2 linked regions of the Callithrix jacchus genome follow. The protein of the gene in region 2 purifies or fractionates together with the protein of the main gene of each other region. This does not show direct contact. Links are inferred from orthologs where the notes say so. Each region holds a gene or a part of one and is shown on either strand. Other genes may lie near its edges. The genes, in order: EIF3B and EIF3E.

Region 1 (15,517 bases), on a different chromosome or scaffold from region 2:
GCACCAAACCACCCAGACACGGCCGGTCGCTTGCCCATCAACGTCCACTGCCTCATGACCAAACCTGAACTTACTTGTCAAAATCCGTGAAAAGGTTAACCCGGAACGTGTGCTGCTTGTCCAGTTTATAGCCGTCAGCGTTCTTCACAGCATCCATAGCATGGGCAGGGGACGCATACTCCAGGAAAATATACCTGAGTGAAAGAGGGCCGTTCATACACACGCACACCATAAGGCTGGGCAGGTATGCACTGTCTACCCCACCCCTCTCCATGGACAAGCCCTCTGTACCAGGAGTTATCTGTGCTGTTCTTCCTGCCTTGAGCCTAAGGCAGTCACACAGAGGACAGACCCACAGCCAAGGAGCTCCCTAAATGAGAGGGAAACCTAACCAGAAGATTCAAGTCTCTAGTTTTATGATTATAAATTATAGAAAAGCTAATCAAAACATCCATGACTGTGGCAATGGTTTCATTAAGTGTAGACATCAAAATCTATTAAACTGTATACTTTAAAACTATGCAGATTTATTATGTATCGATTATCTCAATAAAGCTGTTTTTTAAAAGAACTTGTGGCCAGCGCTGTGGCTCATGTTTGGGAGGCTGAGGTGGGCAGATCACTTGAGCTCAGGAGATCCAGACCAGACTGGGCAACACGGCAAAACTCCCTCTCTACTAAAAAATACAAAAATTAGCCAGGCGTGATGGCACGTGCCTGTAAGCCCAGCTACTTGGGAGGCTAGGGCAGGAGAATTACTTGAACCTGGGAGGCAGAGATTGCAGTAAGCTGATATCACACCACTGAGCTCCAGCCTGGGCAACAGAGTGAGACTCTGTTTCAAAAATAAACAAAATCTTAAAAATAGCCTAATATTGTGTATTATAGGCAACATTACAAAGGACCTCAGAGCACTTTTCATTGTAACATGAGTAACCGAGGGTCAAGAGGCTACCCTTCAACTGACTGCCCAACATAAAAACACTGTAGCATTACCTACATTTGATAATTTTTCTAGAAACTAAAACTATTCTAGTTAGTTTTTACTTTACGTCATTTATTTGAGAGACAGAGTTTTGTTCTGTCACTCAAGCTGGAGTGCAGCTACATAATCATAGCTCACTGCAGCCTCAAACTCCTGGCCTTAGTCTTTAAGAGTGTTGGGAGTTTAGGTGTAAGCCACCATGCTGGCCTATTCTAGGTAATTTTAAAACTTTTTATTTATTTATTTATTTATTTATTTTTAAAAGACGGGGGTTTCACCATGTTGGTCAGGCTGGTCTTGAACTCCCGATCTCAGGTGATCCGCCTTCCTTGGCTTCCAAAGTGCTTGGATTACAGGCGTGAGCCACCATGCCTGGCCAATTTTAAAAACTTTAAAACCTTAACTTAAAAAAACAAACTTTATCATCTTCTCATTCACTGCTTTCGAGAGCTTCCCGCTGAGGGCAGCCTAAAAAAGAGAATGGCCCACGTGCCTGGGCGAGGCAACAGTTCAACACTCCTTCATCACGACGTGCCAGACACAGATGAGACTTCTCTCACAGGCGAACACTCACCCTTTTGTCTTCCCATCCTCTTCAGGATAAAAATCATTTGTGATTTTCCCAAACTTGGAAAAGATCTTGTGGATGACATTTTTGAGTTTCTCAAGTCGGTCAGGTCCCACCTGAGGGACATTGTCCACTACAATCACCGAATCGATTCCATCTGCTTCCTGGGGTCGATCTTTGAGTACATCTCCTAGTAATTCTGCGAAACAGAGATTTGTCAAATGACCACTTTTACCAGGAAAAACATTAACACATTAAGCACACTGAACAAATATCCAGAAAGTGACAATGAATCATCTAAATGCTGTTGCTGTGAGCAAAAGAAACCCCAACCCTAGCTTGTTTCAGAATTTAAATGTGAGAAGTAGGGAGACTGGGACTCCTCTCTCTCCCTTTGATGGAAATGTCAACAGTCAAGGTATGTCAGTTAAGTTCTGGCAATAACCAAAGACCAGAAGACAGTTAACAATAAAAAGCTTTTAACAATGCAAAATGCAAATGAAGAAGAAAATCTAAAGAATATCCAATATTAGATCTTTCAGAGATCCCTAGATTTTGAAAGGTTTCTAGCAACATCTAGGCAGAACCCTATCCCAATGTCAATGAAAACTGACTTTTACAGAAGATTTTAGCAAACAAGTAAATATTTAAATGCTCGATATATTCGCAGCACATTTGTGCTGTGAATTCAAACTACTAGAAATTATTCAAGGAGGAAAACTTCTCTTGAGTGAATTGGGATGAAAATAGTAACTCTTCTCCCACCTCCTGTTCCCAGTTATTTTCATGTTTTCAGGCAGAGAACTGGATAGCCATTCACAAGGGGATCAGGAAAAAAAACAAACAGGGAAGGCACCTGGGTGAACTTCCCGACCGGCCCACCACCAGGCACCTTCGTCCAAAACCCCTTATCCAACATTCCCTATGTTAAAAATCTCGAAGGATCAACACAGGAGATAGGGATGGAGCAAAGTGTTTTTCCTACTCACATGCCACTCAACACATTTCTGACACCAGATGTGGGTCCATATCAAGCAGTTCTCCAGGGGCTACCAGCTGGGTGTCCTCCAACTTAACCCAATTCAGACACTATCTACCAGGAATTAGCATCAGATCCCACAGGCTGAAGGTTCAGTCCCAAAGAAGGGTCCCCATTTCAGATGGCAATTGTAAGTAGTGGGCTGTCATCTCCAGTTCTGACCGAAAGCCTCCAAAGCAGGGTTCCCACTATTCCCCACTTCTTGGGTTGCTACAACAGCTTACAGAATTCAGGGAGCTAGGTTTGCCAGCTTATTATAACAGAAGTTATAGAGAACACAAAGAAGTAGATGGAAGAAAAGCGAAGGGGCTCCCTGTGCTTTCTAGGCATGCCACCCCGAAGGAGCCTCCACCTGTTCAGCTATGTGGTGCCCCCTGAACCCAGTCCTTCTGGCTTTCATTACACAGGTGTGATTACTGACATCACTGAGCACTAGTGATCAACTCGACTTTCAGCCCTCTTCCTTCTGAGGAGCAGAGGGACACCTAAAAGTCAATTAAATGTCCTGAAAGCCTGATCTGAATTTACAAGGCTTGCAATAAAAGGCTCAGCTTTTACACAAACTGTATACTCCTTTCCCACAAGCTCAAAGCATCTAGACTAGAAGAACCTGCCCACACCTAGGAAGGAAATATATGAAGTAACTACACCATGAAGACACATCGCCTTGATCACTCTCAGCCGAAGCACCAGTTACACACAGTTCACGGATTCCCAATCTGTCTCCAGGAAAAATAGAAGGGAACAATTCTCAACACTAAATAGCAAATAGAAAGAGAAAAAATAGTTCATGAGCCAAAAAAGACACTTACGAGTTAAAATCTTGATCACATATTTGTTTCACCAAACACCAAAAGCAGCTGAAACATTAACCTGAAAGGATGATTACAGATTGGGATGCTAATCTATACCAAAAACCTAAAAGCGGCAAGACAAGGACTCCAGGCCATCTCTGGTCTGCTCCCTGGAAGACCTGACCCCTTCCGGAAAGAACTGGTAGTCATATACTGTCTTGCACACTGACCCTGAAGGGCAGCTCTTCTCATAAACAAAAAACCTACCTGAGTTACCAACCACAACCAAGGGGACCATGACAAATGCTGACTTGCTGAGCCTGAGTTCCCCAGGACCAGATGCCTCACCTGTCACTCTGGCCACTGCACCTTCAGGATGACCCACAGTCATCACCCAGCCCAGCCAACCTTGGCTTTTCCCAATTCCAGAAAGAATTCACATATTAGAAATTTGTGAATTTGATAGACTCAAATAATGCTTTAAAAAAACAACTCAGGCTGGGCGTGGTGGCTCACGCCTATAATCCCAGCACTTTGGGAGGCCACGGCCAGAGGATCATGAGGTCAGGCGTTCAAGACCAGCCTGGCCAACATGGTGAAACCCTGTCTCTATTTAAAAAACAAGCCAACAAACAAACAACAACAAAAACTCAGCAGAATATCCAAGGGCTCAAAACAATCACTAAACCAAAAGTTTTAATTTCAAAATCTAAAAAAATCGAAGTGTTACAAAGAACAATATTCTGAGCAGGAAAGTCTGGGGGACCCCAAGCAGTGCTGACCCACCAGGAATTCTCAGCAGCCTACTCCACCTCCAGGGACACGTTTCCTCAGGAGCAAAGGACTTAGACTAGATGCTCCCAAGGTCTTCTTTGTGGTGTCCTTCCTGCTTTTCATGCAAATATTTAGTCTTTTATGAAAAAAAGTGCAACATAATAATGGTCACAGTAACTGACAGCCTTTTTATTCTTTAATGTTTCACTTTTTGAGACAGGGTCTCACTCTGTCACCCAGGCTGGAGTACAGTAATGAAATCTTGGCTCACTGAAACCTCAGCCTCCTGGGTTCAAATGATTCTCCTGCCTCAGCCTTCGAAGTACCTGAGACTACAGGTGTGCACCACCACATCTGGCTAATTTTTATATTTTTGATAGCCTTTTAAAAATACATTTAAACTGGCCAAGGCCGGCAAATCACGAGGTCGGGAGTTCAAGACCAGCCTGGCCAATTTGGTGAAACCTCCAATCTCTACTAAAATACAAAAATTAGCTGGGCATGGCGGCGCACACCTGTTAGTCCCAGTTATTCAGGAGGCTGAGGCAGCAGAATTGCTTGAACCCGGGAGCAGAGGCTGCAGTGAGCCGAGATCATGCCCCTGCACTCCAGCCTGGGTGACAGAGCAAAACTCCGTCTCCAAAAAATTAAAAAACATTTAAATTATAAGTTGGCCACTCTATGTTGTTCCCTAAATTGCCTTAGTGTATCACCGGCTGTGTCATCAAGAGTATTTTTATTTTTCTCACTCTAGTATTAACTTAGCCAATAGACAGGCTAATGTGTTCCCAACTTAAAGACTTAAGACGGCTAAAATAAAGCAAAAACAAATGCGATCAGCTCTCATCAGAAGTCACTTTAGGAGAGGAGCACCTTCAGGCAGGAAGCAGAAATATGCCTGTAAATCCAATCAAGGTAGAGATGAAAGCAAAGCAGGCTGTTATCAACAACATTAAAACCTAGAAAAATAATTCGCCTTATAGGTTTACCGTGGGGGAGGGGGCATAAAGGAAAACCAAACTGGAATTTGACAGGGGCTGCCTGTCCCACTAGGGAAGTCTTTGGAGGTGGACAATTCTGCGGGGCAGGAAGACAAAATCACTGGCTCTGCCACAACCTGTTACTACGATCCCTACCTTGGAAAGTCTGACGGGTCAGCTCTGGGGACACGCAGACCCGCAAGCTTGACACCGGGTTCTCGGTTTTTGCTGTACCCTCAGCAGCGACACTCACGGCACCGGCACACCCAGTCATAACGGAGTCCCCCTGGAGCCCTCTCCCACTCTCACAGATTTCTGACTGTCTCACAAATGCCTAGCTTCCAAAGGGGACTCCATCTAGCCCCCTTTTCTACAAAAAGGGAGATGCTGGGCTCTCAGAACACCTCCAGGGCGGGCACTCGGGAACCTCCTCCATGGTGGCTTCTCGGGAACACACGGATACCCTCGCTGGAACTTCTGCACGAAACGGTGGCACAGCCCGACGACGTCTCCCACCTCAGGAACCCTAGACACGCTCCTGCGCCGCTCGCCGGCTCCACCCCGAGGGCCCTCACCTTCCTCGCTCACGTCGTCCACGAAATCCTCGGGGTCGCTGAAAGAGGGCTCGTCCGCGTCGCCGTTCTCCAGCGCCCGGGGCTCGGCCTCGGCCGCGCTGCCCTCGTTTCCTCCAGCGTCCTCGGACGCCGCCTGGGCCCGGCTGTCAGTGCGCTCGTCCCGGGCCTGTTTCCCCCGGGCCTCGCCCTGTGCCGGGGTTCGGGGCTCGGCATGCGACCCGGGCGGCTCCTCGGCGACCAACCGCGAAGGCGACTCGGATGGGCCGGAGGCCGCCTCCGCCTCGGTCCTCACCTCCGGCTCCGGTCCGGCCTCGGCGGCCGCCACCTCCTCACTGACGGCCTCGGTCCCCGCCGCCTCCGGAGCGCCAGGCCCCCCGGGCCGCAGCAGTCCCACGTCTGGCGGCGGCTCGGCGGCCGGCTGCTGCTGGCCGGGCTCGGCGCGCTCCTCGGCCGCCTCAGGCACCGCCACGTTCTCCGCGTCCTGCATGGGCCCAACGCTGCCTCCCCGCAGGGCTCCGCGGCCACCACGCTTCCGACTCTCCCAGGCCGCACCGCGCGCCGCGCCGGCTACAGCGCAGCCATGTGCGTGAGATCGGGAAGCCACACGAAGGCCAGGGGCGCACCCACGCCTTGGGACCTCACGACGAGACGAAGAGGACTTACATTCGCAGGACCGCGTCCGAAAGTCACCGAACTGACATTTTTGTGACAAGAAAATGCTTAATCCTATTTGTCAAGGTTGTTTCTATTCATCAGTAAACTCATGGGAGCATTGAACACCCCGTGTGTGGCAGGGGATGGTTCCGTCCAACATGGCGGCCGCCCCCTTTCCTCTCCCGTCAGGCGCTGCGGGTCGAGGCTGAACTATTTGTAGCGCCGAAAGCGGGGACCAAAAATCATTTTAATATGAGGAATGCTATGAAAATGTCCTCTAACTCAACAGTTAATACCATAGAAAAGTGGAGGCTCAAAAGGCGATTGTTCCGGGCGTTTCAGCCTTTTGCTAGGCAAACCGTTTAGCTTACATTATGAATGTCCCCCTGTCCGTGCTGGTCACTTGAACTCGTCTACTGACTGGGCAAAAGGATGGACAACTCTAAAATAGAAAAGGAATTCAAGGCGAGCCAGAGGCGGCCCACGCGACTAGAAGGACGACTACCTGGCGCGATACAAAAATGTATCCGAGTTGCTTTAATCGCTTACCCCTAATTCTTCCCTAACGGCCGTCACCGCCTGCTTCCCCGCCTTCGGGCGTTTACAGTGGTTCGATCCACCTAGCCCATCCCCCTCCGCGCGGGAGAGCGCGGGTCACGTGGGGGCGGGGGCGGGTCTTCGCCGCATAGGGTGATAGGCAGACGCAGGGAGGACCGGAAAGGTTAGGTCTCCGCTGGTGCTCGCGGAACGGATATTGGGTGTTTCCGTCTCCTAGCTTGCTTTTTGCCGGGGTGGAGGACAACTACTCGTGGGATGTCTTCGTCATACTAGAAAAGAACGCGGTGGGCCGGGCGCGGTGGCCACGCCTGTAATCCCAGCACTTTGTGAGGCCGAGGCGGGTGGATCACGAGGTCAACAGATTGAGACCATCCTGGTCAACATGGTGAAACCCCGTCTCTACTAAAAATACAAAAAATTAGCTGGGCATGGTGGCGCGTGCCTGTAATCCCAGCTACCCAGGAGGCTGAGGCAGGAGAATTGCCTGAACCCAGGAGGCGGAGGTTGCGGTGAGCCGAGATCGCGCCATTGCACTCCAGCCTGGGTAACAAGAGCGAAACTCCGTCTCAAAAGAAAAGAAAAGAACGCGGTGGCTCACGCCTGTGATCTCAGCACTTTGGGAGGTTGAGGTAGGAGGATCTCTTGAGCTTGGGAGTTCGAGACCAGCCTGGCCAACGCAGCCTCCCCCCGCCCTCCAGCCCTCGTCTCTACCAAAATTAAATCAATAAAACAGGTGGTACCTGCTGGGGAGGAAAGTAGGGAGTGTTTAATGGGGACAGACCTTCAATTTGGGAGGATGAGAACGTTTTGGAGATGACGGTAGTGATGGTTGCACAACCTGGTGAATGTTCTTGATGCCACTGAACTGTGTACTAAACTGCATATTAAAATAACTAGGCCCTGCGCGGTAGCTCAAGCCTGTTTTTCCAATAGTTTGGGAGGCCCAGGTGGGAGGATCACTTGAGTCCAGGAGTTAAAAACCAGCCTGGGCAACATAGTGGGACCCTGTCTCGCAAAAATAAAAAATGCTAAAACGGTAAATTTTATGTATATTTCATCATATAGTTTTTTCTTTGTTTTCAGAGACAGGGCTCACTCTGTTGCCCAGGCTAGGGTGAAGTGGCATAATCACAGCTCCACTGCAGCCCTGACCTCCCAGCCTCAAGAGAATCCTCCCATCTCGGCCTCCCTAAGTGCCAGCATTAAGGTGAATCACCTCGAAGGGCCTAGCCATTTTAATATGCAGTTCATACGCAGTTCAGTGGCATTAAATGACATTCCCAAATACCTGGGACTGAAGGTGTGTGCCACCACGCCCAGCTAATTTCTTTATTGTTTATTTTTGTAGATGGCATCTCACTAAGTTACCTAGGCTGGTCTCAAACTCTTGGCCTCAAGCAATCCTCCTGCCTCAGCTTTCCAAAGTGCTAGGATTATAGGTATGAGCCACCATACCCGTTGTGTTCTGATGGTGTTTAAAAGAGCAAAAAAGAAGCAGTGTCTTCCCCATGTCTAGTACTAGGTTTGACTCCTCCTCATCATGCTGCCAGCTGTGTAACTTTGGGCAGGTTACTTAATGCCTCTGTCTCAGTTTCTCCATCTGTATAGTAAGGGATAACACATTTTTTAAACAGAGATGGGATCTTGGCTGGGCACGGTGGCTCCCACCTGTAATCCCAGCACTTTGGGAGACCAAGGCAGGTGGATCACCTGAGGTCTGGAGTTCGAGATCAGCCTGGCCAAGATAGTAAAACCTCATCTCTACTAAAAATACAAAAATTAGCCCAGTGTGGTGGCATGCGCCAGCTACTCAGGAGGCTGAGGCAGAGAATTGCTTGAACCCAGGAGGTGGAGGTTGCAGTGAGCTGAGATCCTGCCACTGCACTCCAGTCTGGGCAACAGAGCGAGACTCTGGCTTTAAAAAAAAAAAAAGAGATGGTGTCTCACTATGGTGCCCAGGTGTCACCTGGACTCCTGGGCTCAAGCAGTCATCCCACCTCAGCCTCCCAAAGTGCTAGGATTTCAGGCATGAGCCACCACACCCAGCCAGGTGGCTGGATGACACATTTTAGTGTGTGGCTGGTAGGACAGTTCCACAAAGGCAAACTAGGTTTCACCTCCAGACCAAATTATCCTCCCAATTTCTAGTTTCCGCTGCAGCTTTTCTTAGATCATCAGGCTCTGCCAACTCTTTTCTTCTAGAAAATGCTAAAAGGTAGCAAGTCAGTGAATAAGAAGCAAATACTAACCAAAGAGCTTGAAAACAGCTGATTTTAGCTTGGCAACTGCATATTTCTTAGACAAGGAAAACTCTTCTATGGCAGGCATGCATTGCACAGAGGAGGCACTCTTCACTTTGCTGGGGAATGGACTTCCTTAGCCTTTTTTTTTTGTTGAGACGGCATCTCCGTCTGTCACCAGTCTGGAGTGCAGAGTGCAGTGGTGTGATCTTGGCTCACTGTAACCTCCGCCTCCAGAGTAGCTGGGACTATAGGTGTCCACCACAACACCCAGCTAATTTTTGTATTTTCAGTAGAGATGGAGTTTCACCATGTTGGCTGGGCCGGTCTTGATCTCTTGACCTTGTATTCCACCTAGCTCAGCCTCAAAGTACTGGGATTACAGGTGTGAGGCCACCATATTATCCAGCCATCTTTTTTTTTTCTCTTTTTTTTTGGAGGTAAAGAGTTTTATTCTTGTTGCCCAGGCTGCAGTGCAGTGGTGCGAACTTGGCTCACTGAAACCTCCGCCTCCCAGGTTCAAGTGATTCTCTTGCCTTAGCCTCCAGAGTAGCTGGGATTATGGGTGCCTGCCACCACACCCGGCTAATTTTTGTATTATTAGTAGAGATGGGGTTCATTTTGGCCAGGCTGTTCTCAAACTGCTGACCTCAAGTAATCTAACTGGCTCAGCCTCCCAAAGTGCTGGGATTACAGATGTCAGCCACTGTGTCCAGCCTTTCCTAGCCTTTTCTACAGATAAAACTGTGCAGAAAATATATCTAAGAAGTGCTGCCGTTGATACTCAAAATTATGTGAGTGCCTACTTTGTGGTAGGCACTCTGGTGGGGGTACAGAGGTGAGTAAACCGTGTATGTTTACATCGTTTACATGAACCTGTCTATAAGGGGTTCATAAATGACATTCCTGCTTTTAGAAGGTGATGGCAAATTCTGCTCCCCCAAGTGTGGGAGAACTTAAGGCATGGTGCAGTGGTTCACACCTGTAATTCTTATACTTTGAGAGGCCAAGCTGGGAGGACTGCTTGAGCCCAGGAGTTCAACCAGCCTGGCCAACGAGGCGAAGCCGCCTTTCTACTAAAAATACAAAAATTAGCCAGGTGTGGTGGCATGCACCTCTAGTCCCAGCTACTCAAGAGTCTGAGGAGAGTCACTCGAACCTGGGAGGCAGAGGTTGCAGTGAGCCAAGATGGTACCACTGCATTCCAGCCTGGGCGACACAGCAAGACTCTGTCTCAAAAACAAAACAAAATTATAAAAATAAGAAATTAGCTGGGCCTGGTGATGGCTCTTGTAGTCCCATCTACTCTGGAGGCTGAGGTGGGAGAATCACTTGAGCCCAGGAGCGCAGTGGGGTGATCTCTGCTCACTGCAACCTCTGCCTTCCAGGTTCAAGCAGTTCTGCCTCAGCTTCCTGAGTAGCTGGGATTACAGGTGCCCGCCACTACGCCCAGCTAATTTTTCTGTCTGGTAGAGATGAGGTTTTGCCATGTTGGCCAGGCTGGTCTTGAACTCCTGACCTCAGGTGATCTCCCACCTCTGCCTTCCAAAGTACTGAGATTACAGGTGTGAACCACCACGCCTGGCAGTATGTTACTTACTTACATGTGCAAGCTTACAATGAAGTGTATAGATTAGGCATAGTAAGAGATGGCTGGGTACGATTAGGCATAGTAAGAGATGGCTGGGTACGATGGCTCACACCTGTAATCTCAGCACTTTCAGAGGCTGAGGTGGGTGGATCACGAGGTCTAGAGATCAAGACCATCCTGGCTAACACAGTGAAACCCCGTCTCCACTAAAAATACAAAAACTTAGCTGGGCATGGTGGCATGCACCTGTAGTCCCAGCTAGTCAGGAGGCTAAGGCAAGAGAATCTTGAACCCAGGAGGTGGAGGTTCCAGTGAGCCGAGATCACCCCACTACACTCCAGCCTGAGCGACAGAGTGAGACTCTGTCTCAAAAAAAAGAGATTAACAGCAATAACTAACAGAACAATTATAACAATATACTGTAATAAAAGTTATGTGAATGTGGTGTCTGGTGGTGTCTCCCTCTCAAAATTCTTAGCCATGTAATATTTTCCAACCGTAATTGACCATGGGTAACTGAAATAGTGGAAACTGGGGATCCGCGCTACTGTGTTTGGAAACAGTCTTCACAGATGTAATCAAGATGAAGTCAAGCTGGACAAGGGTGGACCCTAAGTCAGTGACCGATGTCCTTATTAGAAGAGGGAAATTGGTGGGTGACTCATGCCTGTAATCCCAGCACTTTGGGAGGCCAAGGCGGGCAGATCACGAGGTCAGGAGATCGAGACCAGCCTGGCCAACATGGAGAAACTTCATCTCTACTAAAAATACAATAAATTAGCTGGGCATAGTGGCAGCACCGGTAATCCCGGCTACTCAGGAGGCAGAGGCAGGAGAATCACTTGAACCAGGAGGCAGAGATTGAAGTGAGCTGAGATCACGCCACTGCACTCCAGTCTGGCAACAGAGCAAGACTCCCGTTAAAAAAAAAAAAAAGGCCAGGTGCGGTGGCTCATGCCTATAATCCCAGCACTTTGGGAGGCCGAGGCAGGTGGATCACGAGGTCAAGAGATTGAGACCATCCTGGTCAACATGGTGAAACCCCGTCTCTACTAAAAATACAAAAATTAGCTGGCCATGGTGGCGTGCGCCTGTAGTCCCAGCTACTCAGGAGGCTGAGGCAGAAGAATTGAATCCAGGAGGCGGAGGTTGCAGTGAGTCGAGATCATGCCATTGCATTCCAACCTGGGTAACAAGAGTGAAACTCCGTCTCAAAAAAAAAGCAGAGGGAAATTATGGCCAGGCATGGTGGCTCACACCTGTAATCCCAGCACTTTGGGAGGTCGAGGCAGATGCATTGAGGACAGGAGTTTGAGACCAGCCTGAATAACATAGTAAAACCCCATCTATACTAAAAATACAATAATTAGCTGGACATGGTGGCAGACGCCTGTAATCCCAGCTACTCAGGAAGCTGAGGCAGGAGAATCACTTGAACCTGGGAGCTGGAGGTTGCAATGAGCGGAGATCCTGCCACTGCACTCCAGCCTGAGCAACAAGAGCAAAACTCCATCTCAAAAAAAGAAAAGAGGCTTGGGGTAGATCTCAAGATCCCCAGAGCTTCAAGGAGAAACCAACCTGCTGACGCCTTGATTTTGGACATCCAGTCCCCAGAATTGTGCGGATAAATTTCTGCTGTTTTGTTGTTACTGTTTTGGGTGTTTTTTTGGTTTTTTTTGAGACGGAGTCTCACTCTGTTGCCAGGCTGGAGTGCAGCAGCTCGATCTCGGCTCACTGCAACCTCTGCCTCCCGGGTCAAGCAATTCCCCTGCCTCAGCCTCCTAAGTAGCTGGGACTATAGGCACGCAACATCACACCTGGCTAATTCGTGTGTATGTATGTATTTTAGTAGAGACGGGATTTCACCATGTTGGCCAGGATGGTCTCCATCTCCTAACCTCATGATCTGCCTGCCTCGGCCTCCCAAAGTGCTGGGATTACAGATGTGAGCCAGGCCAGGCACAGTGGCTCACACCTGTAATCCCAGCACTTTGGGAGGCCGAGGGGGGCAGATCCTGAGGTCTGGAGTTCAAGACCAGCCTGGCCAACAGGGCAAAACACTGTCTCTACTAAAAATACATAAATTAGTTGGGTGTGGTGGTGGGTGCCTATAATCCCAGCTACTCAGGAGGCTGAGGCAGGAGAATCACTTGAGCCCAGGAAGTGGAGGTTGCAGTGAGCTAAGATTGTCCCACTACACTCCAGCCTGAGTGACAAGAGTGAGACTCTGTCTCAGAAAAAAAAAAAAATGTTTCTAGAGATGGAGGTCTCGCTGTGTTAGCCCAGGCTGGTCTCGAACTCCTGGCCTAGAGTGATCCTTCTGCCTTGGCCTACCAAAGTGCTGGAATTACAGGCATGAGCCACCACGCTCTCAGCCCAGGGGTCAACTTTAATTTCCATCAGAACCCTTTCTAAAAAACCTTGACTTCATTTTAAGGCTGAATTTATAGTTTCCGTGAAATTATAAGTTTTCTGGGTGCATTATATTTCTACTGACATCAACATCAGTATATAACTATGAAAATGAAAACTGTTCCACCGCACGAGCCCCGGGGGAAGCCTGATGTGGCTGGGGAGAGAGGCTGCCTGAGACTGGGCCGAGGCTAACCCCTCCCTTGCTGTTGAGATAGCCTCCACATCTCTAGGCCTCAGTTTTCTTATCTTGCAGGCTTAGGGGGAGTCTGGATAAGATAATATGGGAAAGCTGTGCCTTTATTTTCCTGTGGGATTAACAGAATGAGAAGTATTTCCAAGTGGGCCAGCCAGGTTCTGAGCATGGGGATTTCATGTCTTTGAGAAAGAGGCTCAGAGCCGGGAAGTGACCAGTCCCTGAGCTTGGGAGCCATGAACCCGGTGGCAGAGATCCAGGGTGACCCTTCTGGGGCCCAGGGTGGTGAGATCTCTGGTGGGGTGGCTCCCGGTGTAGCCTTGGAGCCTCATGCTGGGCCGCGGAGGACTGAGACTCTGACCTCACCACCTGTCAGCCATGGGCCAGCTTGGGCGGGTTTGTGGACATTCAGGACCTATCTCAGGAGGCTGAGGCAGGAGGATCCCTTGAGTCCAGAAGTTCGAGACCAGTCTGGGCAATATAACATCTCTTTTTTTTCTTTTCTTTTCTTTCTTTCTTTTTCTTTTTTGAATCTATGTCGCCCACGCTAGAGTGCAGAGGCACAGTGCAACCTCACCTCCCAGGTTCAAGCAATTCTCCTGCCTCAGCCTCCCAGTTTCAAGCAATTCTCCTGCCTCAGCCTCCCAAGTATCTGGGACTACAGGTGCACACCACCATGCCTGGCTAATTTTTGTCTTTTTAGTAGAGGTGGTGGTTGCCCAGGCTGGTGTTGAACTCCTGGCCTCTAGTGATCTGCCCGCCTCAGCCTCTCAAAGTGCTGGGATTACAGGAGTGGGGCACCACACTCAGCTTAACATCTCTTATTCTGATCTCTAGAAAGAATAAAAATATGTTAGTTGGAAATGCGAGTGCGTGCTGTAGCCTCAGATACTTGGAGGCTGGGCAGGAGGATCACTTGAGCCCAGGAAGTCTAGGCTGTAGCAAGCCACAGTCGCACCACCGCACTCCAGCCAGGGCAACAGAGCAAGTTGCTGTCTCAAAAAAGAAAGGAAAAAAAAAAACAGCAAAAGCAAATTTTAGGCAGGGCATGGTGGCTCATGCCTATAATCCCAGCACTTTGGGAGGCTGAGGCAGGTGGATTACCTGAGGTCAGGAGGTCGAGACCAGCCTGGTCAACATGTCTCTACTAAAAAAAATAATAATAATAATACAAAAATTAGCCAGGCCTAGTGGTGGGTACCTGTAATCCTAGCTACTCGGGAGGCTGAGGCAAGAGAATTGCTTGAACCTGGGAAGTGAAGGTTGCAGTGAGCTGAGATCATGCCATTGCACTCCAGCCTGGATGACAAGAGTGAGACTCTGTTGCAAAAAGAAAAAAAAAAGAACGGCTAGGATTACAGGCCTGTAATCCTAGCACTTTGGGAGGCCGAGGTGGGTGGATCACCTGAGGTCAGGAGTTCAATACCATCCTGGCCATCATGGTGAAACCCCATGTTAAAAAAAAAAAAAAGGAAATTTTAAAATGCAAAATCAGTAGTGTCAAGGGCAATGTGTTTTTCTCCACTCCTCTTGAGAAAATACCACACAACAGATTTCAGAAAATGTATTTCTGAAATGTATTTTCTGAAATATGTTGTGTCACCTCAGAACTTTCTAGAAAAGTCTGGTGGATAAGCCCAAGGGGCTTCCAGTCCAACGTCTTGTGGAGTAGCATCTCTTATATGTGTTTCTTTTTTTCTTTTTTCTTTTTTTTTTTTTTTTTCAGTAGAGCGAGTGTCTCCCTGTGTTGCCCAGGCTGGTCTTGAACTCCTGGGCCAACCCATTGTCTGCCTTGGCCTTCCACAGTGCTGGAATTACAGGCGTGAACCACCACACCTGGCCTGTGTCTATTTTCTGGAGCAAGCTTCTTCCTGAGATTGCATTTGAAGAGATGGATCTGTAGCAAAACTGAGAAACTTGCTGCTCTATACTCGGACTGTTGTCCTGAGGCCACCTCACTTCTGAGTAAAGACAGGCTCTGGGCCAGCATCCTGGTGTTGAAAGCCTGCAACTTCAGAGGTCCTGGTGGATCCGGGATGATCCTGCAGTGCTGGGGCCCCTGTATCACCATCAGTTCTTGCAGTCATGGCCCTGACCCCTCATAATCAGTTTTGTCACCTGAGGATCAGTAGCAGAGAGTGTCTAGAAGTG
Region 2 (15,517 bases):
CATTTCTGTTAATTCCACCTTCTGTTAAAACTACCTGACATTCCACTTTTGAGTGCTGTTTCTGACTCTCTACTTTGGTTATCTAAGTCCTGTGGACTCCTTAAAAATTTCTAAGATTTATATCTTCTACTCTATTTCCACTGCTATTATCCATGTCCAGGTTTTCATCACCCCGTGCTAAAATTGCTAGGATAGCTTCCAAACTGGTCTCAACCCAATTCAATCTGTAAATTACTACCAGATATTTCTAAAAATTTACTTCATTACAATTTAAATTCTTAAGATACCCAATAATTCCTATCTTCTTTGAAGCAGTATAGTGTATAACTGGAACTATAGATTTTGGAGTTCTTTATTATTCAACTAATATTTACGAAATGCCTACTAAGTGCCAGGCCTGATCTGTGCATTGAGAATAAAGAAAGAAAGAAAAAGATAAAGTTCCTATAGTCAATATGGTTAGAGTCTAATAGGATAAAAAGAGGAAAATTCACATAACTTCAAATAGTGAAGTTCTAAAAAGAAAACAAAAGCACCATATGATAAAGTCAAGAGATTGGGAGAAAAAAGGAGCTTTTGGAGAGGGTGGTCAGAGAAGGCTTCTCTAAGAAAGTCATTTTCAAGCTAAGAGAAGAATGAGAAGGCACCAACCATAAACAGCAAATCTAAGTTCTAGAGAAAGAAACTAATTTGGCACGTTCGAAGAATGACAGAATGGCAGCCTAGATGGATGAACATAGTTAATAACTCAGTGGAGGAGAGCTGTATAAAAGCAGCTCAAATCACAGCACTCCCCAAATCATACTAGCTGTGGGATATCTGACAAGCCATTTCATCTCTCATTTGTTTCCTCATCTATAAAACAGAAATGAAGCCTATCTCATAAGACACACGTGAGGATTAAAAGAGATAACATATACAAAATGTTTCAGATTATTTTCATCATTATTATTACCATTACTGCATACACTAGTGGATCCAAGTTCAAAAACTTTGTGAGTTCAAGCTTTGTGTTCTAGCATTCACTCATGGAAAAAACAAGCATTTACTGAGAGCTTGTTTTCTGACTCTTACCACTATGGCTGGTCAACAGAAGGACTGAGAAGATCTCCAGGTGTAAAGAATGCAAACAAGTAATTAAAATATGATGGAGAGATTAATGAGGTTCAGTAAAAATTCTCTTAATCATCCTCCAGTTAGAATCAACTCAAAGAAATGCTTCTGTAAAACATAATGATGCCCACCAAGATTTTAGAAGCTCTTGGCTAGCTCTTGGTTGTCCCAAACAGTTATTACATTTTAAAAATTTAGCTACTTGTATCCAAACCAGTTCATGCCAGTTAAATTTAACGTAGTATAATGAAATATTATAAGGCAAAGAAAACTTGAGTGCAAAAAGAGACTGGTTTCTAAGAAACAAAGTTAGATGCTGTGAAAAGACTCTATAAAAACAAATAGCTCTGAAAAACTATCACATTAAATATGGGGATTTAATTTAAATATTATGAGAAAAATAATGGAAATATAAAAGACTTGTGCACTGAAGCTTCTATATTAGGGACTTTATGTTCCTGCTCCATGTTAAAGAAAGCAAAACAAAAATGGTTTATTAAACATGAAAAGGAATTTCAATCAGGGGACCTCTACCGAAGAAAAGCCCTGTTCTATATCAACCTGCAAAAGTTTAATGAAAGGTGCCATTGATGTTAGTTCTAAGTCAGGAACTAGGCTCCCATCTACATACAAAAAAGAAGTCTGAACTCCTTAGTCTAGCATTTTAAGGCTCCAACCTATCTTTCTAGCTTTTACCTTTCATAAGAGACTTTTGCAAAGCATATACTTTATTCTCATACATATCTGTACTTTCCAGACTTTGAAGTCTCATAGATCTGTATCTTAAAAGGTGACCAGAAGTTGTTTTATGAATGAGGGGAGATATATGGTGCTATCTACTTTTCCACGGAAAATGCAGAAAAGAATAAGTGGTGACAGTGGCGGTGTTGGAGGCAGAAGGAAGATGAAGGCAGAAGGAAAATGCAGAAAAGAGTAAGTCGTGACAGCAGTGGTGCTGGAGACATAAGGCAGAAGGCAGTTTTGAGTTTTATTAATTGTGAAATAACCATTACATGTGCCTTGTAGAACACTGGAAATATGGATCTTCAGTTTAGAAGTGAAATTTCAGGATGTGTTCCTTGAAATCTGGACCTTGCCTGCCTTACTTGGCACTATATCCTCAAGAACTAGAACAGTGCCTGGTGCACAGTACTCAAATATATGTTTAATTAAGGTGTTATTTAGTATACAGGCTAACGGATAGGTAAAGCTGGATGTGGATAAGATTGCTCACTGATGTCATTTAATCTATTTTAGGTATCTTCAAAACTAATGAGTACTTTGTACCATCTTTTCCCAGAAATATGCATGTTTACACAAGTACTAAATTTTGCACAATTTCATCAGACCACATGGTATTTAATGCTTGCATCAATTTAAAATCTATTGATCTCAAACTTAAAAACCAACAATAACATATTAAGAGGACAACTAAGAAACAGTGAAAACACCAAAAAATGAGCAAATGGATGTAGAGAACTCAACAGAGGAAAGGTCCGAAAAGAAAGAAGAAAACAAGAAGAATGTTATTAAGAAAGCAAAGAAAGATTTTCACAGAGGGAGTGATCTACAATAGCAAAAGTAGTAGAAGTACACAAAACACGTATGTTAGAGTTGGCATTAGGTCTCCTAGAGATCTTAGCGGAGTGGTAGGCCATAGAAACCAAATTGAGGTTGTTTGAAGGACTGAATGAAAAGAGAGGGAGTAGGGCAGTGAACATAAACAACTAAAATGTTCTCAAACATTTCTCACACATTATTTTTTCAACAAATACTCATTTAATGCCGATTATATGCCTGGCATTGTGCTAGGCATCCTATCCATGTCCTGCCCAAATAGCTCAAGAAACTTGACTATACTCTCTAAATTATCCTTTCCACCTCCAAATGTCTAATAACTTCCCTATGTAATAAGCATCAATCACTTTCAATTGGCTAAAGAAACAAACCAAATAATCTACTCTATTAGTAGTCTAACAAAGATGTGGAAGTGTTAAACTTACTGCATAGGTCTTTTATAAACAAGTGAGAAATTTTCCTATCACAAGAATTACAGTATTCTGAACTAACCAATTCATGACACTGTTCAGTGGAATTCCTAAGGACACACCTCTGACACACCCCCCCCCCGAAAAAAATCTAAACAAAACACTATCTTAAGAATCTTCCCATCACCCTCCTACATCCTAAAATTTTGTTACCATAACTCTCTGAAATAAAACTCTAGAATACTCTTTTCTTAAAAGTCACTTAAAATAGAATTTTAATTCTGGAAAGGTCTAAACCTTTATTTTACTAGTGAGCAAACTGTATCCTATTAGTTAAGCAAGTTGCCTAACTGTAGTATCTTTAAGATACTAAAGAAATTATTTCAATGCTAGAAAAATGGTTTGTAATCTTTTTTGACAATGTGTGTTTATTATTAATCCCATTAACAATTCATTTAGTCAACAAATAATTACTAAGCTCCACCCCCATGCATCAGGCTCTAGGAAAGTGACAGTGAACAAACAGGCCTGGTCCCTCTCATCCTAGGAAAGACCAAATTTTAAAACATAACACAATTGGTTCAATGCTTTAATAGTATGAGAATAGAATACATAATCGAAGGGTCACAGGTAGGTTTTGTTGTTTGATTTTGTTGTTTGGGTTTTTTCTTTTTCCAATTTTGTTGGGGGATGGGTAAAGGGAAGGGGGCAGTAGATGAGTCTAGTAGGCTTTTTTTTGTAGTAGGTGAGCTTTGTGGGGAACTGATAAATGATAAACTTTAATGGGGACAAGAATGAGGCAAGGAGGGAAGAACATTCCCAGTGGAAGGACTAGCATGTGCCAGCTTTCAGAAGCAGCATGGCAATTTAGGGTATTCATCAAAGGCCAGCATAGGCAGCTCACAGAGTGAGAGGGACAATGGCTCAAGATAAAGCTGGAGACATGGGTAATGTCCAGATCATAGAGAGGAGGGACATAATCAAATCAGTACTAGCTAATAATAACACATCCTTTTACATAGTACTTTAACAGTTTACAAAGCACTTTAAAATGTTTTCTCTTCCGTTCCTACAAACTTGTGTGGTAGCTATTATTTATTATTCCAAAATAATTACATCAATCCTCTTCAGAATTCTCACAGGGTAAGTTTAAGGTCCAAGTTACTCAGTTAAATCACCTTGTCTGTTGGTAGTACATAACTACTAGTCCCTCAAGATTTTATATATGCTACTAACATCTAGGAAAGCTATACTAAACATACCTTCATGATTGTACTTTCTAAAAATTATGTACTTAAAACATTTTTTAAAAGCATTAAAAGTAACAGCCATTTATCCATCATCCAGCTTACGGAATATACGCTGAAAATAGCCATTTATCCATCATCCAGCTTACGGAATATACGCTGACACAAGTCTTTTAAAACTATGTGTTTATAGCTTTTCTCCATAGATTGTGAATTCCATGAAAGTAGGGACTGTGTGTTGATAGATCCAAGATTTTGCACTAAGAAATTAACACTGTTGTTTAATACAATGGAATCCCTCAATTCAGGTAGAAATACTGAGGTTCATAATATGCTAGAGGCCACAAAGCCAATAAATAATTTAACCCAGTTCAAGTACAAAGGAATTTTGCTTTATTTCTTAAGAGTTTACAACTTTATAATACCTGATAAATTTATTCACGATAAAACCGAAAAAATAACTTTCAGTACACATATTTTCAGGTCATTATTAAAGCATCCCACAAAAGCATTTGCTGAACAAATTAGCTATGGAAGTCTCCTGTATTATGCTAAATGCTGGGAATATGAATTCCAATCACACAGATTCCATGCCTTAACGAAACTCAAGTTTCTTAAGCACACAGAATTGATCCAAGGTTTGGCTGTTTCCAGATTTAAAGAACATATCCCACTCTAGATCGACTAATAGGTAAAAATGTCCATCACACATGAGCACGTACATGGCCCAGAATTAATAAATTATTTTTCCCTTCAGAAAAAAAAAAAATTGCTAGTAGGGAGTACGAAGGAAGTTGTGCTGTGTGTGCAAATGTGTTTTGAAAAGGAGTGGGACAGAGACTAGCCTGAAAGGAAAAGAAACTGGAAAACCGGGTTTAAGGAGAAAACTAAATGTAGAGTGGCATATGAGAATCACAGTTGTTAAAGCATCTTCTACAACAGCTTTTCTGCACAGAGCTGTAATCCTTACATAGCACTTAGTAAAAGGCCTTACAGACCCTGTGTTTCTCGACGCCAAAGAAGCTTCAGTAACCACGTATTCCGCTTCCTCCGCACCGCCCAGCAACCACAGTTAGTGTGTGACAACCCTAGCCCCAAGTCCCTTCCGCCTCATAAATGGAAGCGGCCCTGGCCGCTGGACTGGCGCAGAGGAGGGCAGGTGAACCGATGAGACGACACTGTGGGAAACGCCATAGAGTACGCGCTCAGGCCAAGGAAGGGGTCAGCCTCAGCCTCCACCTCAGCTTGGCCCGTCCAGTGAGAGATGTGGTATCAAAAAAAGACCAGAAACCCCAGCTCCCCGAAGGCAGCGGGTAGTCCCAAACGGCTTCCTAGCACTTAAAAGCGCTGGTAACTTCCGCACCCGCCCCCATCCGAAGTTACCTTCCCAAGTGACATCGTAAAGCTCTGAGACCTTCGCCATCTTCCCAAGAACCTAGAGGCAGCGGGGTGAGAGGGCGGGGAGCCGCAGTCACGTGACTCGCGACCGGGCAGGGGCGATTTACGTAACTGGTTCTCATTGGCCAAGAGAGCAGAGGGGCGGTATTCGCTACGCACGTGCACGCAGCTCTGCGGAGGGGCTTTCGGGGAAGGGGGCGGAGCGAGCTGGGTGGTGCGCCGCGGTCCCGGAATCTGAGGCTTCTTTGGGTGCTGGCGGGGCGGAGGTGCTGACTCTGGGTGAGGTGTGTGTTTTTGTATTTGTTTTGCCGTGGATTTTTTTTAACAAATGCTGGGTTTTTAGTGTCCGCCAATCCTAGCTTTTCATTTTTTTCTGCCTAGGCGTGTTCATTCTCTTCACACTCCCCAATCAACAATTTATTCTCTTCAGGGCTGGCCGTGGTGCAGTCTTTTGCACGAATCCTTTACTAATCGCCAACTTTCCTCCTTCTTTAATGGGATTTGCTTTCCGTTCACTTTTTAATCGACTAAACGGATACTCTAAAGTTTTTATTAAATCTCTTCGAGGGACTAAGTGGGATTCTTTGCGCTTTGAAGTTCCCTTGAATACCCTTGGGCTAGCCTGTACCCTTCGTTTACGCTTGTCGTGCCTGTCATTGCTTCATCCATGTCTGCATGCCACACTAGGTTTGAAACTGTAGCGAGTATGTAAGTACTTACAAGAAATGAATGTACGAATAAGACCTTTACAGTTCCTGAACTTCGCTCCTCTTTTCTCCTGGTGGGTGGATGGGGGAGCCTCCTTTCCCACCAGACTAATTGCTTTTAGGGACCTTTGGACGTCGTCTCCTAGAGCTAAGGAGAAATGTCTGGACAGTAAGCAAAATATTTGAAGATGATAAGCATATATTTAGTATTTGGAGCAATGAGAACCTGAGATTGTAGAGGAGGAATATGTAAGCTGAGGAAAGACTAAAAATCACTGCAATGCCGCCATAGTTATGGGTCAGTGAAGAAGGGGCAGTAAAGGTTGAGAAGTAGAAATAATCCTATCCCACAAGTCAAAACAGTGGAGGGGTTTTATTCCCAGCTTTATTGAGGTATAATGGACAGAAATTGTGTATATTTAAGGTATAGGAAGTAATGATTAGATGTAAATATATATTGTGAAATGATTACCACAACCAAGCTAATCAACACATCCATCACCGTACCTGTTTCCCGTGTGTATGTGTTGAGAATACTTAATCTCTCAGCAAACTTCAAAGTATACAATACAAAATTATTATAGTCACTATAATGTACATTTGATCTCCAGAACATATTCACCTTACAACCAAAAGTTTGTACCCTTTGACCAACATCTCTCCATTCCTCTCCTCTCAGCTCCTGTCAACCACAGAGGGTTTTTTTGTTTGTTTAAAAAAAGAAAAGCAATAACCGTCAGGCCATCTATTCCAGAGAAGTCACGTAATGACAGAAAAGACTAGTGAAGTTTTATACTTGGATTGAATTCTGAGTGAGCTGGCATTCTTTCTAAACAGACTTAAAAAATCTTTCATTCAGGAAGTTAAAAAATGCTCCACCCAGAAATTCACGTATTCTAATTCTTCAATAAAGCAACATGGTGCAATGGGAAGAAAGAGAACTCCCAGATCTGATTCCAGGTTCTACCTTTTAGTAGCTGGGTGACTTTCAGCTTGTATGTCTCTCTCAGCATCAAAGAGGCTTATATGTGAAAAGCTAATAATATCTGTTGAAAAAGAAAATAGCTACCTTGAGTTGTTCATCAACATGAAAGCAGATACTGCAGCTAAAACCCCTGCGTGGCACTCTCATGGAGGTACCCTCCTGTATCTAGAAACACTGTTTATGTGCTAATCAGTCCCAAATTGATCAATCTTCTCAAAACCCACTCTGCTTGCTTGACATACTTGCTTAGATGGCTAGTTGATATGCATCTCAAAGTTAACATAGCCCGCACAGAACTCTGGATTCCTGCTGTCACCTTCTGCATTCCCACCTTGCTTTTCCCCATCATAGGTAAGGAAACCATTTACCTACTTGCACAAGTTAAAATTATAGGAAGTACCTTTGATTCCTTTTTTTGACACCCCCCCATATCCAGTCTATCAGCAAATTCTACATTGCACTTCATCTGCTTTTCATTTCTATTGCTGTTACCTTAATCTAAGCCACAACTTGTCTCTTCTGAATGATTGTGATAGTCTCCTAACCACCTTGGTTTCATTCTTGCTATGTAAAATCAGTTTTTTTATACAACAACGCTACTGGTCTTAAAAGAAAAATCAGACTACAGAAGTCCCTTGCTGATAGGCCTCAAATGGCTCCCCATGGCAATAAAAATATACTTCAAACACTTTACCATGGTTTAAAAGGCTTTACTCAGCCAGGTGACATTCATCTACCTCTTACCTCATCTCCTACTATTCTGTCTCTCCTTTCTAGCCCCCAGCCATTCTCATCTACTTACTAGTCCTCAAACAGGCCAAGCCCCTATCTGTCTTGTATCTGGCATTTGCCCACCTGCTTCCTTTTCCTAGAATGCTCTTCTCCACATCTTTTAGTGACCATCTTCCTTTCACCATTCATATCTCAGTTTTAAATGTATCCACTCATAGCCCTTTTTTGACCATCCAATAAAAAGTAGCTCTTATATAATGCCTATTCATCTTCATGACATTTATCACTATTTGATTTCTTGTATGTTTACTTGCTTACTTTCCGTATTTTACACCACTTTAAGCTGCTTTGGAGTACCAACTTTATTATTTTAACCTTGGAATATCCATGCTAGGAAAATACCTGAAACAGTAAAAATGTTTGTTGAATGAATGAATTAGATTAAAAATGACAGCTTGTATTAATATTTATTAAGGATAACATTTCTTAATAGTATACATATGAACTCTTGTTTAGTTAAGCATAGGATGTTTTCTTTTTATAGCTAATACTTTCCTAAAACTTATAAATTCAGTGAATTCAGGGACCATGCCAATTTTTTTTTTTTTTTTTTTTTCGGGTAGGCCCTGCCAGGGTGCCCCGGGTGGGACTACTCTGTGCCAGCTCCTCCCCCGGGTGCCCAGAGTCCACCAATTCATTTTTATATCAGCCGTTACTACAATACATTGCATACAAGAGCCACTTAATATTTTCATGAAATTATTGATGCTTAACATTTTTTTGGTTTGTTTGAGGGGACTAAAGCCTCTAGGAAGTCCCAAGTATGTATTTTTTAAAGCCTTGCAATGGATTTTAAAGACTATAACTAATTGAGGAAATAAATATTTTCTAATCACTTCAAGTAAATATTCCATAGCTAGCTACTATTGTCTGTCAAGCAATAAGCTATATGACACTGGGTTAAAAGTCATCATTTTCAGAATTTCTAAGTTGGAAAATAGAGTAATCTCATTTTTTAGTTAGAATGGGCTGATGATTCTTGAGAACAATATTTTTCAAACTTCTCTTGCCTACTACTCATACTAAGGAATATTTTTAATATTGTCACACAGTATGTGTACACATATTTAAAGCTGAAACATAGTATACAAACTAGTTTTGTCATGTGCCTTGTCTTTTGCATTTTCTATTCAAAATGTGTCAGTTACAGTGTATTTTCTGAAACTACTGGTGTGACATGATAATGAGGTCATGACTCATAGTTTAAAAAACATCCATGGATCTTGTATGTATTTCCTAACCTGAGGCCCTAATTTGAAATGATTTGCCCAAGTTTCTGCCACTAGTAGGTAAAAAAGATAGACGATTCATATGTAATTAGTTGTTTCGATCATAGATGAGAGATAAAATACTAATGAAAAAAATATATCTAGGAGAAATTTTATCACCAACAGTACAGTGAAGTAGGGAAAATGATTGCTTATAGATTATAACATAAGATGTCTAATAAAACTTGCCTTCCTCAGGCACACGTAAGAAAAAACTGGTATGAGAGTGACAAGAATTCTATATTCTTCTTTAACATTGTGTAACATGCAATTATAACTAAATGAAAATAGAAATACCTTCCATAGATAAAACTAATACTGAAAGCATAAATATCAATCTTACCTTCTGTAACTCTAACTTTACAAGATGTCTGCAAAGTTTTGCCTCTTACCCTCTCCCTCATTGGGAAAATTTTCATTCAAATATGTTTAAAATATTTAATCTAGTTTTTCTGATTGCACATTGGCAAAATTGGTGACAAATACCAAGGAAATGTCCAGGCAGCCAAATAATAGATTATATTAGCCTCCACATTATGAATAAGATGTGTCAGACACCACGGGCAGCATTATCTCACTTAATGATCTCAATAGCACAATGAAAATGTCTGTAATTGTTTTTATGTGAAACTAAATTGTGATTTGGCTTTTTTCCTACAAGATTAGGTTTCAAGAGTTGGAATGACAACAAATCAGAATGAACTAGAGTGAGACCAGAAAAACTTTGAATAAGCCCACATTTTCTTTGAGGTAGGTTATAAGCCAAATTAGTCCACAGAGCACTTTAGGGTACACATCTCTTTTATGGTTTACTTAATTCAGTTAATATCTTCAGACATAGTGGAGGACTAAAGCAACCTCTTAAATTTAATAAACTCTATGGCATTCATACAGTATACATTATTTCACAGGATATAAGCCAAATTAGTACACAGAGAACTTTAAAGTACATTTCTTTTATAGTTTACTTAATTCAATTAATATATTCAGATATTGTGAAGGACTAAAGTACCTTTTAAATTTAATAAACTCTATGGCATTTATATAATGTATATTATTTCACAGGATGAAACATACCATTCTAATTGATTTTACAATATTCAGCATCTTCATCAAACCATTTATTTAGAATATTCTGTCTACTTTTTCCTGGTCTTAATCATAGTCAATTAATGTCCCACATTATGTAACACAGCTTGTAACTCCTATTTACTATGACATTTATTTATCAGAGTAAATTGGTCTCACTACAACTCTCATATAAAATTTACCAAATCTTTTAAATTATATTGTTTCTAATTAGTGGATTATAACCATAATCCATTTTTATTTAACTGGAAATATTATTCATTCCATATCACCAGAAAGTAATCTTCATTTCATGGCACCAGACTTTCATTGTGACACATCTTGTTCAGAAGGAAATTTTCCTTAGCATTTTATTTACCAAGCGCCAGGTTAATGTAGAATTGTTTTAGGAATCTACTGAACGTTGTTTTAATTACATTTTTAAAAGATTGTACAATTAATTTGTTTACCCCCAAATCAGTACACACTCCCCGCTTTGCAGGCACAATTGTAGCATTTAGGCATGTCTGTTTTTTTTAAAGTTTGTTGTCATTTCCAATACACATGTTTTTAAATGTGCCAGCCATCATTTCATACCCAGTTATATTATTTTAGAAAGGAAAAGGGAGTCTCTGGGAAACATTTCTAGTGAGATCGCTTTGGTCCTTCTATAGCAGATTTTGCAAACTGATTATTACGCCCTGTGCCGAAGTTATAACAGTGAAAAGGAAAGTACATCCAGAAAGAGTACACCCAGAATTCCCTCACATGGGCAATAAATTAGAGCTGTTTCTTTCTGAGATTTATAACCATACTTGAGAGTCCACTTTTTCAAATGATATTTATTTAATTTCCCCAAAGTGCATATTCTATTCTGATACACACACACATCTGTGTAAATGTACTCCTTATGCAAAAATGTATTTTTGTAAACATCTCTTTGGGTTACCAAATATCCAGGACTCCCTAAATACTATTAATGTAAACTGTTGGTCCCTGAAGACCATCTAGACTCTACTTTCTACAGCAGGACTATAATGGAATCCTTTACTTGAAAAAACATTCAAAAAGGTGTTTATTTACAATAAATAAATTACATTATGGGAAACTCATGCAAAGATAAACTGAATGTCACATTATACATGTTAGTTTACTATTAATATAATTTTTACTTTTGAGTAGTCCCTCTCTTTGGTAGTTTGGTAGCATTACTCTAATTACAAGTGGCTGCATCATTCATTCAGACCTGTAGTTCTCAGATATCTTATCCTGGCCACCAGGCCAGAATGCCATTTTCTTTACTGGTCATCTTTTACTGTGGTCATGCTGACCACTCTGCTAAAATTGGCTTAAAGGCCAACAGCCACATTGAGCATAATGTGGTCATGTCCTGTTTTAGATCATAAATCACATGCTCTCTTGTACATAAGAGGGCCGATTTGGTCTACCCCATGGTTTTATTTGGGAAAAAGACTAGTTTCCTGGCAGAATGTCTGACAAAACTGCCCACCCCGAATCCATTCTGTCGGACCTATGCATCATCTTCTCACTCCTAAGGAAACAGCATGATCTCTATTTTTAAAAATTTAAGATAAAATTGTTTATCTTAAAACTATGAAGTAAGGAACAATACAGATGTGCTTCAAAAGCTACCACTTAAATTACTGCCACCTCTAGAAAATCTTTGAGCAATAAAATATTTTCATTTTATTCAGGAATAAAATATTTCATTTCCTTCTGTTCGTTATGTTTCTTTTACACATTTCCCTTGAATCTTTAAATAATGAACTTGAACATGTATCCAGTGTGGATGGGGGTGTGATGTGGGGGTGCTTTCAGTTGTTAAAAGTGGATTGGAAGAAAGATTGGTCAGAAAGAGCCATAGACCGTGATTTAGATCTGATAAAGTATCAGCCAACTCAGTGAGAAGCTTCTGAGCAAAGATTGCCCATTAGAGGACACCCACAATGGGCAGAAATTGCCAGGCCTCATGTAGTGACATGCTCAGTTATTCTCTGGGGACTACACAGAAGGGCATAGCCTCAGCTCAAAAGCTGTGATTAATCTGGAAGATTTTACTAGCTGGAGGCTGTCAACTTCCTGTACTATTTCAGCAAATTCTTTTTTGAAGGGCGATTCAAACAGTGTACCTCATGTCTGCCACAGTAGCCATTATTATTATTTTTCCATTCTGGCTATGCACAACCTCAACACTATTGGGTAAAGAATTATTGATGAGAGGTAGGGGTCTGTGTTCTTCAGAAGTCACTAGTGAGTTGACATATGGAAATTACATTTTGACTGCACAGAATATCTTTATTATATTATAAATAGTTCAGCAATGGTTGCCTTGTGTTAAAGAAAAGACGTGGTAGAATACATATAATCCACAGAGGCTTGTTTTTTTGAGACATAAATCAGGAATCATTCATTCTTTTCATGGGTGGAGACTAATAGAACTACCATTGGTAAATTACCTAGAACTTCATATTTCTTCCTCATTTTTTCACTCAGCTGCCAAATATCTCAAAGTAATTTAGAATTTTAAACATGTCACTCCAAGAATAATAGTAAAACTCTGAAAAAGGGCAGCATTTCTAAAATTCTAGAATTCAAGCTCTTCATGAAATACTAGAAAATTCCAAAGACACTGCACTCAGAATGCCCCTAGATAATTTAGTGGCTAGCTGCCATACTATCATTGATGGTTGCTTCTTATTAAACTTAAGGATAAATTTTATCAGTATTTTCCAACAGATAATTGATTGCAGGTGTGAAATATGAATGCTGAGTAAATATTCAGCCCCTCAATGTCATCTTGCTATTCTCTCATCCAAATATCAAGGCAGCCTTAATTAGCATCTGCTGTGCTACACAGATGCTCTTCTGGGAAGGTAATTAATAGTGGTCCATACTCTGGACTGCCAGAAGGAATGATATAATGAAATCAGTACCTAATGGGAGAAGGCAGAGTGCTTCTCAGACTTCACATGACTAGTAAAGTTGAGTTTCAAAAAGAAGGATTGTCTGTTTTTAAAATTTTAGCAACAGAAGAGGACTACTGATTGTCTCTTTTAAAGAATTAAAGCAACAGAAGAAAACTTTGGCAGTTCTTTTCAGGGAGCAGTTACATGGGACACAGTAGTTATATATCTCAGTTCACAAGCTCAGGTGTGCAAGAACAAAATTTGCACTTTAATAAAACAAAAGTTTTTCAACATCTGTTTTAGAATCATGGGTACATATGCAGGTTTGTTACATAGGTTTGAAGTACAAATGAATCTGACCACCATGTGGTAAGCATAATATCCAAAAGGTAGTTTGGGTTTGTGTGTGTGTGTGTGTGTGTGTGTGTGTGTGTGTGGTGTTGAGACAAGGTCTCACTGTCACCCAGGCTGGAGTGCAGTGTCACGATCAAGACTCACTGTAGCCTCCACCTCCTGGGTATGAGCTCAAGCTTAATCCTCCAGCCTTATACCCTCCCCACCCAGTAGCTGAGACTATAGGTGCATGCCACCACGCTGGCTAATTTTTTGTAGAGACAGGTTTTCGCCATGTTGCCCAGGCTTGTCTCTAACTCCTAGGCTCAAGCAGTCTGCCTGCCTCAGCCTCTCAAAGTCCTGGGATTATAGATGTGAACCACTGTACCTGGCCCAATAGGTAGTTTTTTCTTCCCCACTCTTATCTCCCTCCCTCCTAGTCCCCTTTTGTATTCCATGGTGTCTGTTGCCCCCATTTTTATGACCACATATACCCAATGTTTAACCTCTGCTTATGATAACATACAGAATTTGGTTTTCTGCTTTTGCATTAGTTTAGGATAATGGTTTACAATTTCATTCATGTCACAGCAAAGGACATGATTGTATCCCTTTTTATGGCTGTGTAGTATTCCCTGGTGTATGTGTACCACATTTTCTTTATCCGGTCCACCATTGATGGGTATGTATTGATTCCATGTCTTTGCTATTGCAAATGATGTTGCAATGAACATATGGGTGCAGGTGTGTTTTTGGTAGAATGGTTTATTTTCCTTTGGGTATATACCCAGTAGTAGGATCTCCAAACTGCTCTCCATAGTGGCTGAATTTACATTCCTACCAATTGTATTTCTCCATAGCCTTGTCAACATCTGTTTTTTTTTTTTTTGTTTTTTTTTTTTTACTTAATAACAAAAGCCATTCTAACTAGTGAGAGATGGTATCTTTTTGGTTTAGATTTGCATTTCTCTAATGATTAGTAATGGCAAACATTTTTCATATGTTTGTTGGCTACTTGTATGTCTTCTTTTGAGAAGTGTCTGTTTATCTCCTTTGCCCACTTTTTAATGGGGTTGTTTTTTGCTTGTTCAACTGTTTAAGTTCCTTGTAGATTCTGAATATTAGACCTGTGTCAGATACATGCTTTGTAAATATTTTTTCACATTTTTTTGGTTGTCTGTAAAACTAAATTTTTATTTGAGGTACCATCCTTTGGAGAAGACAAAAATTTAATCTCAATTTGGGATTAGCTTCATCCTGCTGCCTCTACCTCATTCCAGGCTACTCTTACTCGTGTGAAAGTGATATTCAAACTATTTAACAAGCTATAGGCAAGGTCACCAGCTGTCATGGAAGCACCTTCAAGATGGTCCCCAGTGATTTGCACCTTCTGGTTAGTAAATCCTATGTAATCTCTCCTACACTGAATAGGAATGGCCTGTGTTATCAATAGAATGTTGCAGAAATGATTGATATGACTTTCTGAGTTCATAAAAGACGTGACTTCTGCTTTGCCCTCTCTTGCATCACTCATTATGAGGACACTCAAGCAGTCCCACAGAAAGGTCAATGTGGCAGGGACTGAGGCTTCCTGCAACAATCAGCATTAATTTTCCAACCATGGGACTGAGACATTTTAGGGTTGGTCCTCCAGCCCCAGTCAAGACTACAGACTCAGATGACATCTCAGC

Evidence for each region.
Region 1: the proteins of EIF3E (region 2) and EIF3B purify together in Homo sapiens (affinity purification with mass spectrometry; 9 studies listed by BioGRID and IntAct, counting the BioPlex papers as one, with this or other methods). This does not show direct contact. The link is inferred for Callithrix jacchus from reciprocal best matches to the Homo sapiens genes EIF3E and EIF3B.

What each region holds. Positions count from the first base shown.
Region 1 is NC_133503.1:56,684,091-56,699,607, forward strand, and holds the start of EIF3B (eukaryotic translation initiation factor 3 subunit B), read right to left. Parts: upstream 6,271-15,517; 5' UTR 6,203-6,270; coding exon 5,716-6,202; intron 1,753-5,715; coding exon 1,560-1,752; intron 195-1,559; coding exon 75-194; intron 1-74.
Region 2 is NC_133517.1:88,593,427-88,608,943, forward strand, and holds the start of EIF3E (eukaryotic translation initiation factor 3 subunit E), read left to right. Parts: upstream 1-5,933; 5' UTR 5,934-6,030; intron 6,031-10,159; exon of another isoform or gene 10,160-10,248; intron 10,249-15,517. UniProt on the Homo sapiens protein: Component of the eukaryotic translation initiation factor 3 (eIF-3) complex, which is required for several steps in the initiation of protein synthesis.